Styela clava: one gene and its partner. The protein of the gene in region 2 purifies or fractionates together with the protein of the main gene of each other region. This does not show direct contact. Links are inferred from orthologs where the notes say so. Each region holds a gene or a part of one and is shown on either strand. Other genes may lie near its edges.

Region 1 (8,173 bases), on a different chromosome or scaffold from region 2:
AACTACAGTTACACAATGATAAACCAACATTATCCAAGTATATATGTATAATACTCACCACTTCTTGAATATATCTGGTCAAGTTGAGAGAATTGAATTCCTTTTCTAATGAACTTCTCTGTTGCTCTGTAAGTTTTCCCTGCAACAATAATGGCCTTGGATAAGTTTTTGAGTATAATTGTACACAGGACTTCAAAGTTGAGACTCGGAGGCGGGAGTTTCAAAATTTCAACATGTTTTGCTAGAGTAAGAGGCTAAGAGCTACATTTTTAAACTCCCCTGAGTCGAGAGTCACGGTCAAAATTGTGAATTCTTCAAAGTCGATGTTGGAATTCCAGACTGACAGACTTTCAGCAGTGATATAGAAAAGTTGAATATCTTTACAGAAACTTAAACAGCATTAATTTTTGATAGTCTGTTGAAGGATACTTGCATACACCAAATTGTTTGTTATTGAAAGTTGATTTCCTCCAATTTGGAGCTAGAAGCGTGTCAAAATTTCTTAAACCTAGTCAGAAATCGAAGTCAATATTTCCTCGACCCAGAGTCAGGAAGGAGTTGGGTACACCCATAGGGTGTGTACCAGGTTAGGGTTAGGCCATTATTTTATTCCGATTTTCCCTATTTTGGTTATATTACGAGTTCTGGGACTGTCTGTGTTAGCCGAGTGAATATACCCCCTGCCCCCTTTATAAAACTTGATGTAAAACAGGTGAACAAAATTAGTTACCTCCACATTGGTACACACACATCTGGAACACCCAGGAGTTGATTATGAATTTTCCCCCAACTCAACAGCTCTGCCTGTACTACATTTTCTTTGAAAATGACACAAAGTTTCACCGAATGGGCAGTAACATAAAAATCTGTCTATATAACTACTTACCAATTTTTTAACAAAAGCAGTGTTTTTCTTCAAACTTGAATCAAGTTTGTGAAAATAATCTTCATCAGGTCGATGATCAGCAGCATTCTGATTTTGAGTTCTGAACTTTGATTTGGCGGCATTCCTTTCATTTGTCTCTTTCAATAAGTTGGAGGCTTGTTCCTGAAATTTATAGTTTGATTGAACATGGATTAGAGCAGTAGAAAAAATTTCCAAACAATAAAACAGATTATTAAGGATAATACAGATAAGGAGATATTGGAACAAGCAAACCCTCTCATATTGTAGGCTGGTGGGTTTTTGAATTTTTGATATGGCTTCTAAACAGTGTGAAATTTCTATATATCTATGCATTCTTTCTTTGCTTAACAAACATTAATATATAAATCCAATACTGCAATATGTCATTTATAAATTAATATATACAGTCTTGTGATACTATGTTTTAAAAACTGAATAGTATCATCCAAAGCTGCCCATTATAGTTTTACCATATTCAAACCAAAAATGATTTCAGGCATTTTGATTATTTAATAAGTAAGACCAAGGAAAAGTCCTCAAACTGCTCTATTCTAAGATTGATGCTATGATAATAGCCTTGGCTGATGGTATTTAACAAACTATAAGTTTTTGCTTGAAGTGCAGTACATAGAAATAGTTAGAAAAAACTAACATATGTCGAAAGATTGATTCCACGATATAGGATGGGATAGCATTCACATATGTATCCAAGGAAAGATGACGGTGCAGCACCAAGCCTATTCCTAACACTTAGCATGATGGATATGGATTCAGAATGATGACAGTCGGGACAATGTTTAAATCAGGGGTCTCAAACTCGCGGCCCGCGGGCCAATTGTGGCCCGCAGGACGATAGTTTGTGGCCCCCGCCTTGGTATGAAAGTTTAATAATGTTAGTGCGTCCCGTAAGTCACTCAGCTCAGTTAGAATGATTGATGCATTTAATATATGATCAGGACAAGTAGAGCAAATTAAATATTTTATAATCTATCCCCCGAAATGGCATATGCGGCACGGTAACCTACTAGTACCATACCTGTAGGCATGATATTCGATGGACCTTTGACCCCAAAGAAAATTTTCTTTTACCTCACCATTGCAAATTCTTGGTGCTTACTTTAGAGGTGGCTTCGCAAGTTAAGGCCTATAAACTGGGGTATATGTTTCACGTCATCATTTTGATTCAAAACATTTAACAACCTGTTTTTCAACAGTACCAGTAGAGAAGTTTGGCCTAGTCTATCACAGCTATTTCTAGATTACTTTTTGATTACTACAATTAGGCTACGACGCCCAAGCAATCAGAATCATTATTGAGTTCTTTGATTCATACTCAAATTTCTGAAAAACAACCCAAAACTAACAAATAGCATGCAAAAACGAGGTAATGTTTACAAACATGCCTGAAAATCTTTCTGAGTGACAAGTGTCTGAGCGTCTGCGAAAAAGTCTATTGTTACGTCACTTTTTGGGCCTTGCTGATTAGCCAATGTTACGGAATAAACAAGGAAGTAGATGCTCGGGGAAAGGTCCATCGCGGAATTACTTACATTTATGTTTTTGACATGTTTTGTGTATAGAAAAATAGTGGAAAAGATTTAACTTTTCAAGTTTAATGCTTTTATTGTGTAAAACCTGATGCGGCCCAGACTCACTAGGGCTCTGTCTCGGCGTCCCCCAGGTAAGTTGAGTTTGAGACCCCTGGTCTAAATGATTCATCAACGCTTCAAATATTACTGAAAATAAATTTTTTCATCAACTCAAACCTTCTCCTCTTGAAGCTTTTTCTCATCATCTTCTGTGGTACCTCCAAGTTCAGTTTTATCATCTACACAAAGATAATAAAAAGTTAGAAATTTGACAATAAGCTCATTGCTCATAGTCTATCGGCCAAACTAATAAAAATTTAAACTATCACATAACTGCATGATCTATTCAAGGAACATAGAATTCGCCATATTGCAATTATTTTGACATGTTTAGATGTTATTCTACGAGTAGTAATGTCTCTTGCCCAATATATGACCAAAAGTCGCAGTTTTTAAAATGACTGTCAACAGTTCTCAAATAGAAAAGTTGAGTTTGAGCATTGCTTAATTTAATGCTAACTTAAAATAGTTGATGTCAATGTTATCGGTTTAATGATTTACCAGTTTAATGATAACAAATTCCACAGAGCAATGCTCTTAAAAAAGGTAAAAGATTAAGTCACATCAAATTGATTCAACATTCCCGACTAGATCATAACAAAAAAGAATTTACCTAGTTCATCAATGATTCTAATCTGTTTAAACATATAAAAATAAACCTCCATTAAAATATGTGTATTTTATACAAAATCCATAACTGTACCTTTCTCATCTTTATTGTCCATGACGAACAGTAATTGCTGCCTCTATGCTGACTTGTTATATATATATCACTCAGCATTTAGACATTGAAATTTATTCCTAATTTTCCACTTTACAATACCAAACTGAAAAATTATATTATAATTCATAAAAAAACAAAATAAAAAAAATATCATTGAGAGCTGCATATAAATAACCTAATTTTTCAGCCTCTGCTATATTTAATAGATGTACCTCTTTTGATCAAGATAAAAACATCGAGCCAAAATATTATTAAACAATGTTATTTATGCTGCGTATGGCCACCATTGCAATCCCCATTTATCAGTAGGGCACAGGAACGACAGCAGATGCATCAGACTCAGATCATACCATGCTTGTCTCAATAAGTTTGATCAATCGCGGCATGCAGTAGTCGTTCATTTTAGTTTATTTCTCAGTGCGGGATTGCCTATTTGTGCCGATATAGAGGGCCAGACTGTCTGGTAAGTGGTAACGGAGGGGTATGTATTCACTGTTATATTTGATGTATTTTGATGTGGGGGCTATTCCTGGATTTGTTGAACCGCATCGTACTATATGTGCTGACTAAAAGGGGTGAAAGCAGATTGCCAGACTACACCGTCCAAAGCTTGGTTAACTTGATCTTGTAGTTACAATTCACACTTTGTCAAAGAAATCATTGTGACAAGACCGATCAGAAAAATCTAATACTAATGCAAAAATACAGATACCGTGTTTGTCATTTTTTTGTTTCTTAGGATAGTTTTGAGGTTAAATAATTTACTATTCCAACAAACAAAAACAATATTTTTGCTGAATATCTATGTTCAACTTGAAAATTTGCACAATTTATTGTAAATTGATAGAAATAGAATTTGGTAATGAAAATATAGAACAGTCGGAGAGTTGGATAAATATTATTTATCAGTTTCCAAATTCCAAAAATATCCAGTCATTTGGTTAAAAAAAAACACTCCATATGACTCACAAACAAGGGGCCTCCTGCCCGACGGCAAATGCCTCATATCACGCCATGCTTGTCTCGATAATAATCTAAATTAATCGCAGCCGTCATGTGACCAAAATTGCTGTTTTTTGAATGCCACGATAAATAAATTATTTTTTCTCCAGAAATTCAATGATGGCGATTTTAGATTGAGCTTTTTTTTAGTTTATTGCACTATATTTTTACCGATATTGAAAGACAACAATGTAAAGACGTTCTCAAAAATAGGGGTGTCTGTTCATCGGCAAAATGGGATTCTCCGAAACAAGACAATGTCATGTGCCATACTGACAGTGTAGTAGTAGTGTTTCTTTCATCACTATGGGAAAACAAACAGATGGCAAATGCTGAAATGTAAACATTTTTAAAAAAAGGTGAAATCCAAACTTATTTTGGTCTGGTCGTCATCAGACAGTCCAGTAATCAGATGTCAATAATAATTTTTTAAATGCAGGTGTTGTAACTTATTTCTAATCTAATGACATACTGTAGCCCAGCCACAGCCTACCAACAGACCTATACCGGTATTCAGACATTTAAAAATAAATATAACCATTTTAAATCTGTAAATTCATCAAAATACAGGAATACTGAAATAGGCATTTCTTTTAAATTTCAAAATTCAGAAATTGGGCATCTCAGGCTGAGCTCAAACCGACTTGATTCTAATATTTATTGTTTATGTTTTGTGTACCGGTATGGTTTTTTATTGGAGAAAATCAGAACATACCGGTACCGTACTTATACTCAACTTTGGATTTTGGTTAACGCAATCCATCGTCGCCGGTCTTCACTTAAAACCGCAAGCTTTGGTACGGTAAAATGCGTACGGTGCCGTACCAGTACCGGCACTCTTATGTTCTGAAATTACTTTAATTAAATACTGAATTCCAACCATGCATGGACTAGTCAGAATAACCTCATTCATACGATCATATGGCATCTTACTTAGGCTTACCATAAATCTGAAACAAAAAACCGGGACGGTGCGATTTGGCAAACATTCGGTCGATTGCCAGTCTTGATAATATTGGAACGTCTACCATGCCATTGCGGGTATATACGGCTGTAAATCTCTACTGATCATTGAATTAGAAAAAACACAAAAAATTAGTTTGTATTATTCATTTAGACCAAAAGTATTTGTCCGCAGATGGAACCTTTCTCAAAAATTTTTGTTTTGATTTTGTCATAAAACTGATAACAAGAGACATCACCATTAAATTTGCAGGTTACGGAGTGGTTTTATATTTTCTTCAGGCATTCTGCACCTGCTTTCGGACCAAAATTTTTTAACAATGGAAAAAATCCTTTTAACAGATGCCGATTTTCCGAAAAACAAAATCAACCAATTTGCTGCAAATTCGAAATGCTAATATTTCTGTTAGAAAAAAACGTTAAACATCTTTGTCCACTTAATTTCAACCGGCAAAGTAAGTCAAATTGCATTTGAACCATGCTCAGATAAATATCTCTTTATCAGTATTCGTAAAAGTGCATCGCTATTCAAAATCTGATCAGCTAACCAAATATATCATTTATCAATTTTGCAGACCAAACACTTCAGTCCAGTTTATTTCACTCTTCAAATTTGTCCATATGTGTGGCCTGGCAGCATTGTAGGCTTCATCGTGCAGCTCTATATTCGATAGACATTTCTCGTAAAAATCGCAAACATTCTTTTTAAATACAAATTTTTTCCCTGCAAATTTAGCTTCACCTCTGACAGAATATTTGCAACATCTACGGCAGGGGTCGGCAACCTTTTGTCGCCCGCGGGCCAAAATTAAGGGTTGCGAGTCATTGGCGGGCCGCACATATTTTTAGAAAGTTGAAACTGAACGAATGATAGTTTTTATATTAAAAATCAAGCAGTGATACATCTCTCGAATAGAATATAGATTTATTTCCTCATTGCATCTCAAAAAATTCCGTTTGAATATTTTCAGCGCCATTGAACCCTTTGCACTTAGCATCAACTTTTCTGCGTTTTGTTGCCATTCGAGCTTGAAGTAAATCATCATTAAATTCAGAGGAGAACAACGGATAAATGCACCAACTCTCATTTATTTCTGGCTAAACGTGCAAAATCAGCGAATCCGCTTATCAAACAGCGGACATCAGAAATTCTAACTGTGTATATTTACAAGTTAATGCAAATTTAGCCTCAAAAAAATTTGAAATCAATTTAGAGGTGCAGTCAAAACTTTGGTCATGAATAGCAGTGTGATAGGTAAATGTCGGCTGCCAACGACACAGAATCATCCGAATTTGTTATCGCAAAATTGGTCAGTCGAGTCGATGCTTCAATGTTATTGTTTTGTGCTTCCTGCTTTGGATATGATCGTTGACATCTGAACGTCCGCCATGACTAATAGAAGAACAGATCTGCAATGCGTACAGTGTACCTTTCCTCCTTCAGTTTGCTTCAAATAAGGTAAATCTTTCTTCAACTCATCAGAAAACTTGTACTTTCTTTTTGGCATTTCGACAACTTAACGACATTGCAGTTAACGCCAGAAAACGCATTAAAACGTATACCAATTGTGACATAACAATAGAGCGATTTCTCTCTCTGAACTAGCAAAGTGTGTCGCAAAACAGTGGTAAATGGGCTGTCACCGTTAAAAAAAATTTGTAATATTAATGAATTTGAATTTTTTACCCATGAAAACCGTGCTGACAAACCGGGACATTTGAGTCAACCGGCCGGGACGCCGGGACAGCTTGTCAAATCCGGGACTGTCCCGGCTAAACCGGGACGTATGGTAAGCCTAATCTTACTGCTGTACTGAAAGGTACCGGTACAGGTAAATATTAAATAAGTTAACCAACTCGCTCTCATTAATAGTTATTACCGTACCGTACACGTAAGACACAGTACCGGTACCGTGTGTTACGCTACCTGCTCAGTCAGTCAGTTTTCTGTGAGAGTTGCTACCTGTGTTAACTCCATCCATCACTCCATCGCCCAAGTTCTATGGTTAAAGTCCTTCAGTATCAGCATATATTATGTTGACTCCCAAACAATCCCCCTTCCCAAATTTACGGTCCCGTAACGGTTAACCAGCTCCAAGAGTCCAAGCAGCGGCATCTCTGTACCGTCATTTTCCGGATTTTGAGTTGGTGCGCTCCACTGAGGTGTATCTAGAGATGTACCGATGTATCGGTATCGGGTATCGGTATCGGCAATATCGGCCATTTTTTCGGTATCGGCCATGTATCGGTATCGGTTAGATTAAGGCCGATATTTCCGATATATTTACGTTTTTGATATGGTCCAGAATGTTTTAAAAGATAAGTTGGAATACTACTTTTTAATTTATTTTTTGTCTGGAGAGATCGTGAGCTATGAGCCATACATGTCCCTACCCCCGCGAGAGAATATGATTCACGTATTTTTAGCTATTTTCGCTGTCAAATTTTTATATTGACATTTTTAATATTACATAGTAATTATGAAGAAATATATCAACACGGCACATAACAAAAAGCAATTAGGCACCCAGTTTTAAATCATACAGTGGAATTGGGGTCCTTATTAACGGCACATGGACTTTTGGCACGGGTATAAATTCTGACTGTTTGTCGTCAAGTACGAGTGTCATTTAGTCCGACGACATCGATAAACTAAATTCCGACACAATTATCCCTCTACGCAGATATTAATTTTGTTTAACAACACAATTTCTTTATAGATATATTGACATGACCGCCTAGCCCTAGAGGGCCTAGAGTCCTAGACTGTCTCAAAATATATGATAGCAATTGTATAATAATATAAAATAGTAAAGTAAAAAAACATCCTCGACGGTTATAGGTAGGCCTTCTTTTGGTCGGTGCTGATTGATATTCTTTCATGTTGGCTTTGACTTATTGCGTCGACGATTACGATTAGCCACGAAA
Region 2 (7,963 bases):
TTATATACCGGTTATACCATAAATCAAACAATATCATTGAATTCCAGTCTTTTAGTGAAAACATGGCAAGTTATACATGAATATCAGGCTCATACACACATAGATCACATACATAATAAATCCTTAGCCCTACCCTTTGGACTGGTTTTCGGATCTCATGTCATGCTGAAAAAATGCTCCTTTTGTTGGAATAAATGCAGGATCTTCTTCTTCTTTTCTCAATCTTTCTTTTTCTTCGTTATCAGCTTCTAAATTTCCTTCTTGCTTGTGTTGCTCATTATCAGATTGCTCCTGTTATTTGAGATAAAAAATTACACGATAAATAAATGATTAATACACTGGTAGATAATGAAACTAATATATACTATGATCTAACGAAAGCTCACAATATACTGGCTATTTTGTGGGAAAAATCCGTTATTCATCACTTTAATAGAATATTGTTTGGGCATCCTTGTGGCAAAGGACACAAGAATTCGAAGCAGGAGGTAGACAAGGAGAAAGGGCGCTCCAGAAGTGCGTGTACCAATATGGAGGTAACTAATTTTGTTCGCCTTTTTTACCTCAAGTTGTGTAAAGGGATTGAAACCTATGGGCGTTTGGTATATTCATTTGGCTAACACAGACAGTCCCCTAACTTATAATAGAACTGAAATAAGGAAAATCTGAATAAAATTATGTCCTAATCCTATCCTGGTACACACACTATGGGAGTACCGGAGAAAGAACCTACAGTTCAATGAAAGGACATGCAGTTTAATACACAATGTCCTAGTACCATCTGTTTAGTATTAGTCAAAATAAATTCAAAGCTATTGATTTCTGAACCCAAACCAAAGATAGATTAAATGTTTGAGAAACAACCACACGTACTTTTCCATCACCACTCTCTCTTATAGTTTCAGAAACTTCTTCATTTTCCCGTTTTATTTCTATGTTTTCATGTTCTTTGCCTTGATCTTCCTTTACTTTTTCGTTATCATTTTCTGGTTGTTCTCCTCCAGGGTCGTCTTCTTCAAATTCTTCATCTATTGAATGCCGAGCCTAAATAGGAAAAAAAACAATATTAATATAAACCGAGAGAGAAAGCCCGGGTCGAGTAAAGCGAAAATAGAAAAGACGCATGGTTCTTCCAAACCAGGAGTTCTCAACCTTTTTACCCCCCGAGTCACGAAACAATCAACGCGAACCCTCAGTAATCAGAAACCAAACAAAGTTGTGATATATTGTCTGACAATTTGCTGCTACGACAATTTATTGACCAACTGCTGTGACTAAATTAACTGTTCGCGTTAATGTTATTACCCTTGTCCTACGCCTAACTAATGAATTCTTGTAACCTCTTCAAATTTCGATATGCATATCACTTTCTGCAATGATCGCAGCACATTGTCTTCTGAGATTTCACAGTTTGGCTGCAAAGCCGTGCATTTCACATTGTTGCGTCACAATCACAACAACGCAAGATACAGGAAAATCTATGCAGAGTTTCAATTGGCAAACATTTACCTTTGGTAGTTACTTAGTTTTTCTCAGTTAGAGGACATTGAAAAAAAAAAAACACAAAAACACGACTGCCATCCAAGTACCCCAGGTTGGGAACCCCTGTTCTAAACAGTCTAAGATTCAAATAGACAGATCGAGTGGTTGAGAAGTTTTTTCGATACACTCCTCTCTTTGCCTATTTTTAATAAAACTCCTCATTCTTCCCTCAAAACACAGAAAAACTCTGTTACCAATCGACAATTGTTGTTATGTTTTATAAGGTTCTTCTCTATTGATACTCGCAAGCCTCTGTGGCTTTTATACAATTCCATGTAGGCCTACATATAATTTGTCCATATGAATGTAATACAATAGCTAAACAAGTTAGTAAAAGGCTTACTACATAAAAATACAAAGTAAAATTCCCGAAAACTATAAAATCATGCCCCGGTCTGGAAACGCTTTGGCATTCATGATTTACAGAAAAATATATCTAAAATTAGATGGAAAAAATGATTGGAAATCATCTAACCAATTCATATTTGGAAAATATGACATAATAGATTCTCTAATACATGTTATAGCACAGGGCTACTCAACTGGCGGACCGCGGTCCGAATCCGGACCTTTCGAGTATTGGATTTGGACCGCACTTAATTATTTATTTTGGATCATTAGCCCCACTTTTTGAATTTCCTATTATAAAATGACTTTCACAGTTTTGAATATATACGAAAAGAACTATAACACCATAATGAACAATTTTAATTTGCTACTAATCATTAGTCAGTCGAGGAAGTGCTCGTTTAAGGATGCCGAAATATCATTTCTGGAAGACCGGACCCAAATAATTTTGAAGTTTTGTTTGCGGACCTTCGATAAAAATAGTTGAAAAGCCCTGTTATAGCACATGTTCTCGAAGAATGTTCCAATATTCAGATATATAAAACATAAAACAAATACTCTCGAGATATGGCGTCTGGCACCAAAGCAGATGCGTGAGATCTCGTGATCTGTGTGTATGAAATTTGTTCCCATTTGTTGTTTTTTCAATTAAAACTCTTGAATGCTACAGTAAAATATTTTTTCTGTGGAATAAATTTTTTCTAAAAAATTTTTGATTTTAATTGACAATAAATTAGCTTTCTTTATATTTAACGGTGTGCCATATAGTGGCAACATGGAAGGACCACACCGCCAGGCTGACCCGCAACGTAGAAGTTTGTATTCATGCTTATAATTGATGTCTTTAAATAGGTATGTGCTGATGTGTGAAGTGTGTTGATTAATGCAATTATAACTGTTAAATATAATGAGCTACCTCTTCATCTACGCTTTCATATTCCGATACGTCGAGGTCATCGTCATCAATATCAGATTCCTAAAATATGGTTAAAAGATATTCAACGAAAATCATAAATCCAAAGAAATCACCAATCTATATTAATAAATCATTCCCGGAATACAGTACTGGAATAAAACACAACTGTTTTGAGGTTTCACTTAGTTCAGTTCAACCAGTGTAAAAAATACAGATTTACTAAAATAGCTACAAAATATGACATTCATTATACCATTCCTGCATTCACTACAAGAATTTAAAACTGAAGCATCGAATATCATCCGCATTGATACCGGTACTGTTTTCCTGTTTGAGTAGACTACTTACAGACTTTACTATTCTTTTCATCGCATGACCACAAACTAAAAGGTATTTAACTGACGAGAGTTAAGTTTTTATTATATTGACGAATTCACTTAGCCCAGGAGCCGGTACCGCTGTTGCAAATCACACTGGTCCATCGGTACGGTACCGGTACTTACCGAGCCGTTCATTGATTTCTCATCTGGTTTTTCATCCAAACCTTCGCCCTCCGAATCGTTGACATCTTCTTCACGACGCCTTCTGCGTGACATACCTGTATCTGTGTAAGCAATGTTATATTGAACACCCCAAAATCGACTTCAAGTCGAAACAGTGCCAAAGGCTTCTACACAACGACAACTTTACGATTGTTGGTGGCTGAAAGCCTGAAACGACGCGGATGTGCTATGAGTCTCTATGAGCCAATTCGGCAAAATTTTACTATGATAATTAGAGAAATTTACACGGAGAGATAATAATCTATTGGACACCAATGTAGATATGATTCGTTTTGTTTTTTATGTTGTTGTTGCTGGTTTTGGTCAAAGCGTATATATATTACAAGCGAGGCAACGCTCAGACAATGGATTCCATCTTGTGCGTATTATACTCGGCCATCCAACAAGGCGCCCTATGAAAAGTTCGCACACAATTATTGAAACATACCAATTATTTTCACTTATATTTTAGGTAGAAATGTTTTGAAGGTCGCGTTTTGAAGTAGAATCTTAGTCGAACATGATGATATTCTTTTATGTTTGCCAAATTACATTTATAATACATTTACATTCAGTGGGGAGCTGTAGTCGAAACGCAACGAAACCGCGTTCCGGTTGTTGGACATTTTATTGCATTTGCGTTTCTGTGTTTGTGGCCAAATTTAACGTATAGCTTTTTTATTTATTTCTAATTGCTTCATATATTTAGGTAGCATCAAGCTTAATGTTTATGTCCACCCTTCGGCTTCATTCTAACCCTTTTAATAGCTGACTTATTCGGTTCTGTACAACAACACGACAAAAATTTTCCATAAGACTCCATTGTTTCGCGTTTCCCAAATATGGCACAAATGTCGTACATGAACTTGGGTAACATTGGGCAAGTTGTTTGCCGGCCGTTGGTTTTGGTCATGTTCATTTCCTTGTTAGTATTTTTCACGTATGAAAAATACTGTGACAGTTTGCACTTTGCATTAGCGTACAACTTCGTTTTCCAACAGTCTTTCGATCTCTTGCTTTCCGAATACATAACAATTGAAATTATACACTGCAAAGAAAAAAAGCACAAAATATAATTGGCGGGCAAAGACTGCAAGGTCAACCTACCACTGAAGATAATTTTGACTGATACAAAAAAGGCAAAATAAATATCAATGAGAATGTGAATCATGAACTTGCCAAGTAAGAAAAAAGAGCTATATACAATTTTCCAAAATTTAGTTTTACCTACTGTAGTACAAAAATTAATATTGCAATAATGGAGCATTGAATACAGGTAGGAACAACTAGCAAATCTATTCTATAAAGTTCAGAGAAGAACAAAACTACAATGTCTTTATAAACATTTTATTGCATTTGATAGCATGATAAATTGATAGCATTATGAAACTATATTAATTTTTCCGACTACTGAAATCAAGTTATTTAAAATTAAATCAATTATAAGATTTTGGCATCATTCTCCATTATTGGCATATTACTGCATCACAGTATATTCGGCTAATTAATTTACGATCAAACATTTTTAAGAAACTGGGTTTTAAACATTTTGGTTCTTTCAGTTTGAGCGATTTCTTCATGGCAGTAGATTGGTGTAGTGTAGAAGTAGAATATTTTTAATTTACTTCTTGTCTCATGTCTGCATATGAGTGAGTCTTGCAAATTTTAACAAAACAGTTTAAAAAATACAATGGTAGCAGCGAGATCTATAGCGATGCATAAAATTTGTAATTACTTTTTCATTCGAGAAATCCACACTGATGATCCAGCATAACGTCAGATTATCCGGATAACGAATATCCGGTTACCCGAGAGGTATTTTGCTATCTGATATTATCGTGACAGTTAACCGGATAATAAAGTAGTATTTCTGATAGTTCTGTTAGATGACGGCGACAGAGCAAATAATTTTTAATTTTATTCACACTTCATTGTCTATTATAGACATCCGTGAAATGCTGGAGTGAACTTCACTATCAGATCACAAAATAGGCAAAACGAATGTGATTATTATGCGATAGAAGGGCGCATTCGCTGCATATAGTTAGGTTGGAAGTATAAGCAACGCTGTAAACCAGCGATCGGCAACCTGCGACTCCGTAGCCACATGCGGCTCTTTGTTCTCGAAGCTCTGGCTCCCGTGAATCAAAATGGTTACCATGATATTGATTAACATTTCACCGGATTGAACATTTGGTACCATGTTCTTGGAATGCAACAAACGAGCTTATAGCAGTTCTTGTCAGAAGCATTGGGATTTAACAAAAAGGGAGGCATAGAGCCAAATACTCTTTAATAATTCACATCACAGCGGTTCCCAAAGTATAGGTCGCAAGCGGTAAAATTGGGTCGCATTAAGATGGTTCAAGTCTGTCAAAACAATTTTTTTTTTCCATTTTTCAGTTTTTTTTCATTTCGGCATACAGTGTATGAGTGAGTGTATTATTGCCTCATTCGTATTTTATTTAGCTTCTTCTTAGTAAGAACTAGATTATTGCATCATAGGTGGTTTTCCGAGAATTTTAATGACCAGCACTGCTGCTACCAGCCATATTCATTCCAAATGTTGCTAAGCTAAGCGCCTTAAAAATGATAATCCTGTGGAGGCGCTGCATTCATGAATTTACATATTTAAATCAACAGTTTTGGACATTATAATTTCAAAAACAATGTAATTTCAGATTGTTTTCATGAACTCTAGTGTTCAAGAATACCTATGTCATACCGTTGAAGACGGCTCCATTGAATGAATACAGGGCTATTGATTCGGAATCCAAAACACGATGTATCACTGTACTATGATTGTTGAAATACTTCGATTTAACAACCAAAAACTGGGCATTGTCCCCAAACAGCACGTTCATTTTTGACCACTGAGGCAGTTCATATATACTAATATTTGATGTAGAAAGTTGTATGGACTTTGTTGAAGCAAAAGCAGTAGTGAATAAATAACAGAATATGTAAGAAAGTAGACAAGGCAATTGAAATGGTTGTAGTCCGAGTTTACTCAAGTCCTGAAATCCAATTCAGGTCGAAACAATATACGATAAATTTGAGTGGTTATTTTTAATAGCAGAAATCAAGGAAGGCACCCTGCTTGATTTATCAATAAAATTTAAAGCATTTGCCTACGACCAATTAACACTGCTTCAAGAACGAAACTGAGATTGTTTCATTAATTTAGTTATGCGTCACATTTTGGAGTGAAATCCTGAAATCTGCACTTATGGATACTAAAAAGTAGAAGGAGTGATTGTCATGGATGTTCGAATTCATGCACGTTTACCCAAGTTGATATGTTTTGTTATACTGCAATTGGGGAATTAGGTTCGTTGAAATCCCGAATTTCAAAATTGTATCTATAAACGTCAAGGCGAATTACCGGTACGTGTCAAAGCGTCGCGCTTTGTTTTTTTTCGAAATAATCGAGCGATAAGTGAAAGGAAAATTGAGCGGAGCAATAAGATAAAAGGTAGTAGAAGCCAAGGAGAATGATTTGTTATGTCAACTCGCGTCAAGCAACTCCTTATCTGCCGGAGAGACGTTTCGTACCTTTATTTTAGTGAAACACACCTCTATTTTCAAGCGTGGGCCATATGACAGCAGTGACAAAACGCATATATATATATATATATATATATCAATTTGCGCCGCGCGATCCCGTTTTTTTAACGTAGGTTACTAAAGCCCAACTTGACGGACTTGGCTGTTCTTTGACAATAGCACTAGACCTCACGGACGCTACAAGTTATAAAATTAGTCAAACATAACAATTCATCATAAAATGAGTGTCAAAAGAAAGGTGACAGAGGAAAACAGAGTTTAGTGGTAACTGAGAGAAAACGTATTCTTTTGCCCACAACAGTAGTAAACCACAGTGTCAGCAGTACCCAAAAACAAAAATAAAAAAAAATTGGTATGTTATTTTGTTTGTGCTTTATATATCTTGCTTAAAATGAAAAAAACGCCACCCATGCAATATATATAACAATAGGCTGATTAGAAGTGCTCTCATTTTTTAATATATTCAAAGTAACTAAATTTGCAGTATTTTGATCACTTCTTCCCGACTGGGCCTCCTCCAAGCCTCCCTTCTTTTGTAAAAGCAAAAACATTGTAGCGCTTCAAATTCAATGTATATTCTACACGCGCGACTCTGCTATAATACGCAGCGCAGGAAGAACAGGATTCTTATCGCGCAAATAATTGGAACCTCGATTGGTAAGTGTTAACGTTTTCCAAACGAACTGACAAATATTAGCCGCGGAAAATTAATAAAATAGCATTCATAAAACGGAATGGCGCATTTAAATGACGTTTATGGTATACGTGGTTCATGGTGTCAACGGGTCGCGTTGCACAATTGGTCGACGTTACATGAGTAGTTGCCCAGCTCGGACCATACGTAAGTATTTCTTCAAATATAGAAATAAAGGCCAGATAAAACTAAGCCGATTTCAGGCTCATAATGACAAAGAGGCAATGATTTTCAAATACTTTGAAATATTACAAATTTCGAAATACTCCATGCGGTTCAACATATAAAATATAATTCACATTACGAGAGACACCGTGTTAACAAATCTAATATGAAAGAATACGCCAGCAAATA

What was found. The genes of interacting proteins can lie anywhere in the genome.
Region 1: the proteins of uncharacterized protein LOC120342158 (region 2) and regulator of nonsense transcripts 2-like fractionate together in Homo sapiens (co-fractionation; 3 studies listed by BioGRID and IntAct). This does not show direct contact. The link is inferred for Styela clava from reciprocal best matches to the Homo sapiens genes CASC3 and UPF2.

The regions. Positions count from the first base shown.
Region 1 is NC_135256.1:14,129,185-14,137,357, reverse strand, and holds the start of regulator of nonsense transcripts 2-like, read right to left. Parts: upstream 3,389-8,173; 5' UTR 3,282-3,388; coding exon 3,260-3,281; intron 2,736-3,259; coding exon 2,674-2,735; intron 1,049-2,673; coding exon 887-1,048; intron 140-886; coding exon 59-139; intron 1-58. UniProt on the Homo sapiens protein: Involved in nonsense-mediated decay (NMD) of mRNAs containing premature stop codons by associating with the nuclear exon junction complex (EJC).
Region 2 is NC_135252.1:6,798,683-6,806,645, reverse strand, and holds the start of uncharacterized protein LOC120342158, read right to left. Parts: upstream 3,503-7,963; 5' UTR 3,403-3,502; coding exon 3,310-3,402; intron 2,867-3,309; coding exon 2,807-2,866; intron 1,045-2,806; coding exon 874-1,044; intron 292-873; coding exon 134-291; intron 1-133. UniProt on the Homo sapiens protein: Required for pre-mRNA splicing as component of the spliceosome. Core component of the splicing-dependent multiprotein exon junction complex (EJC) deposited at splice junctions on mRNAs.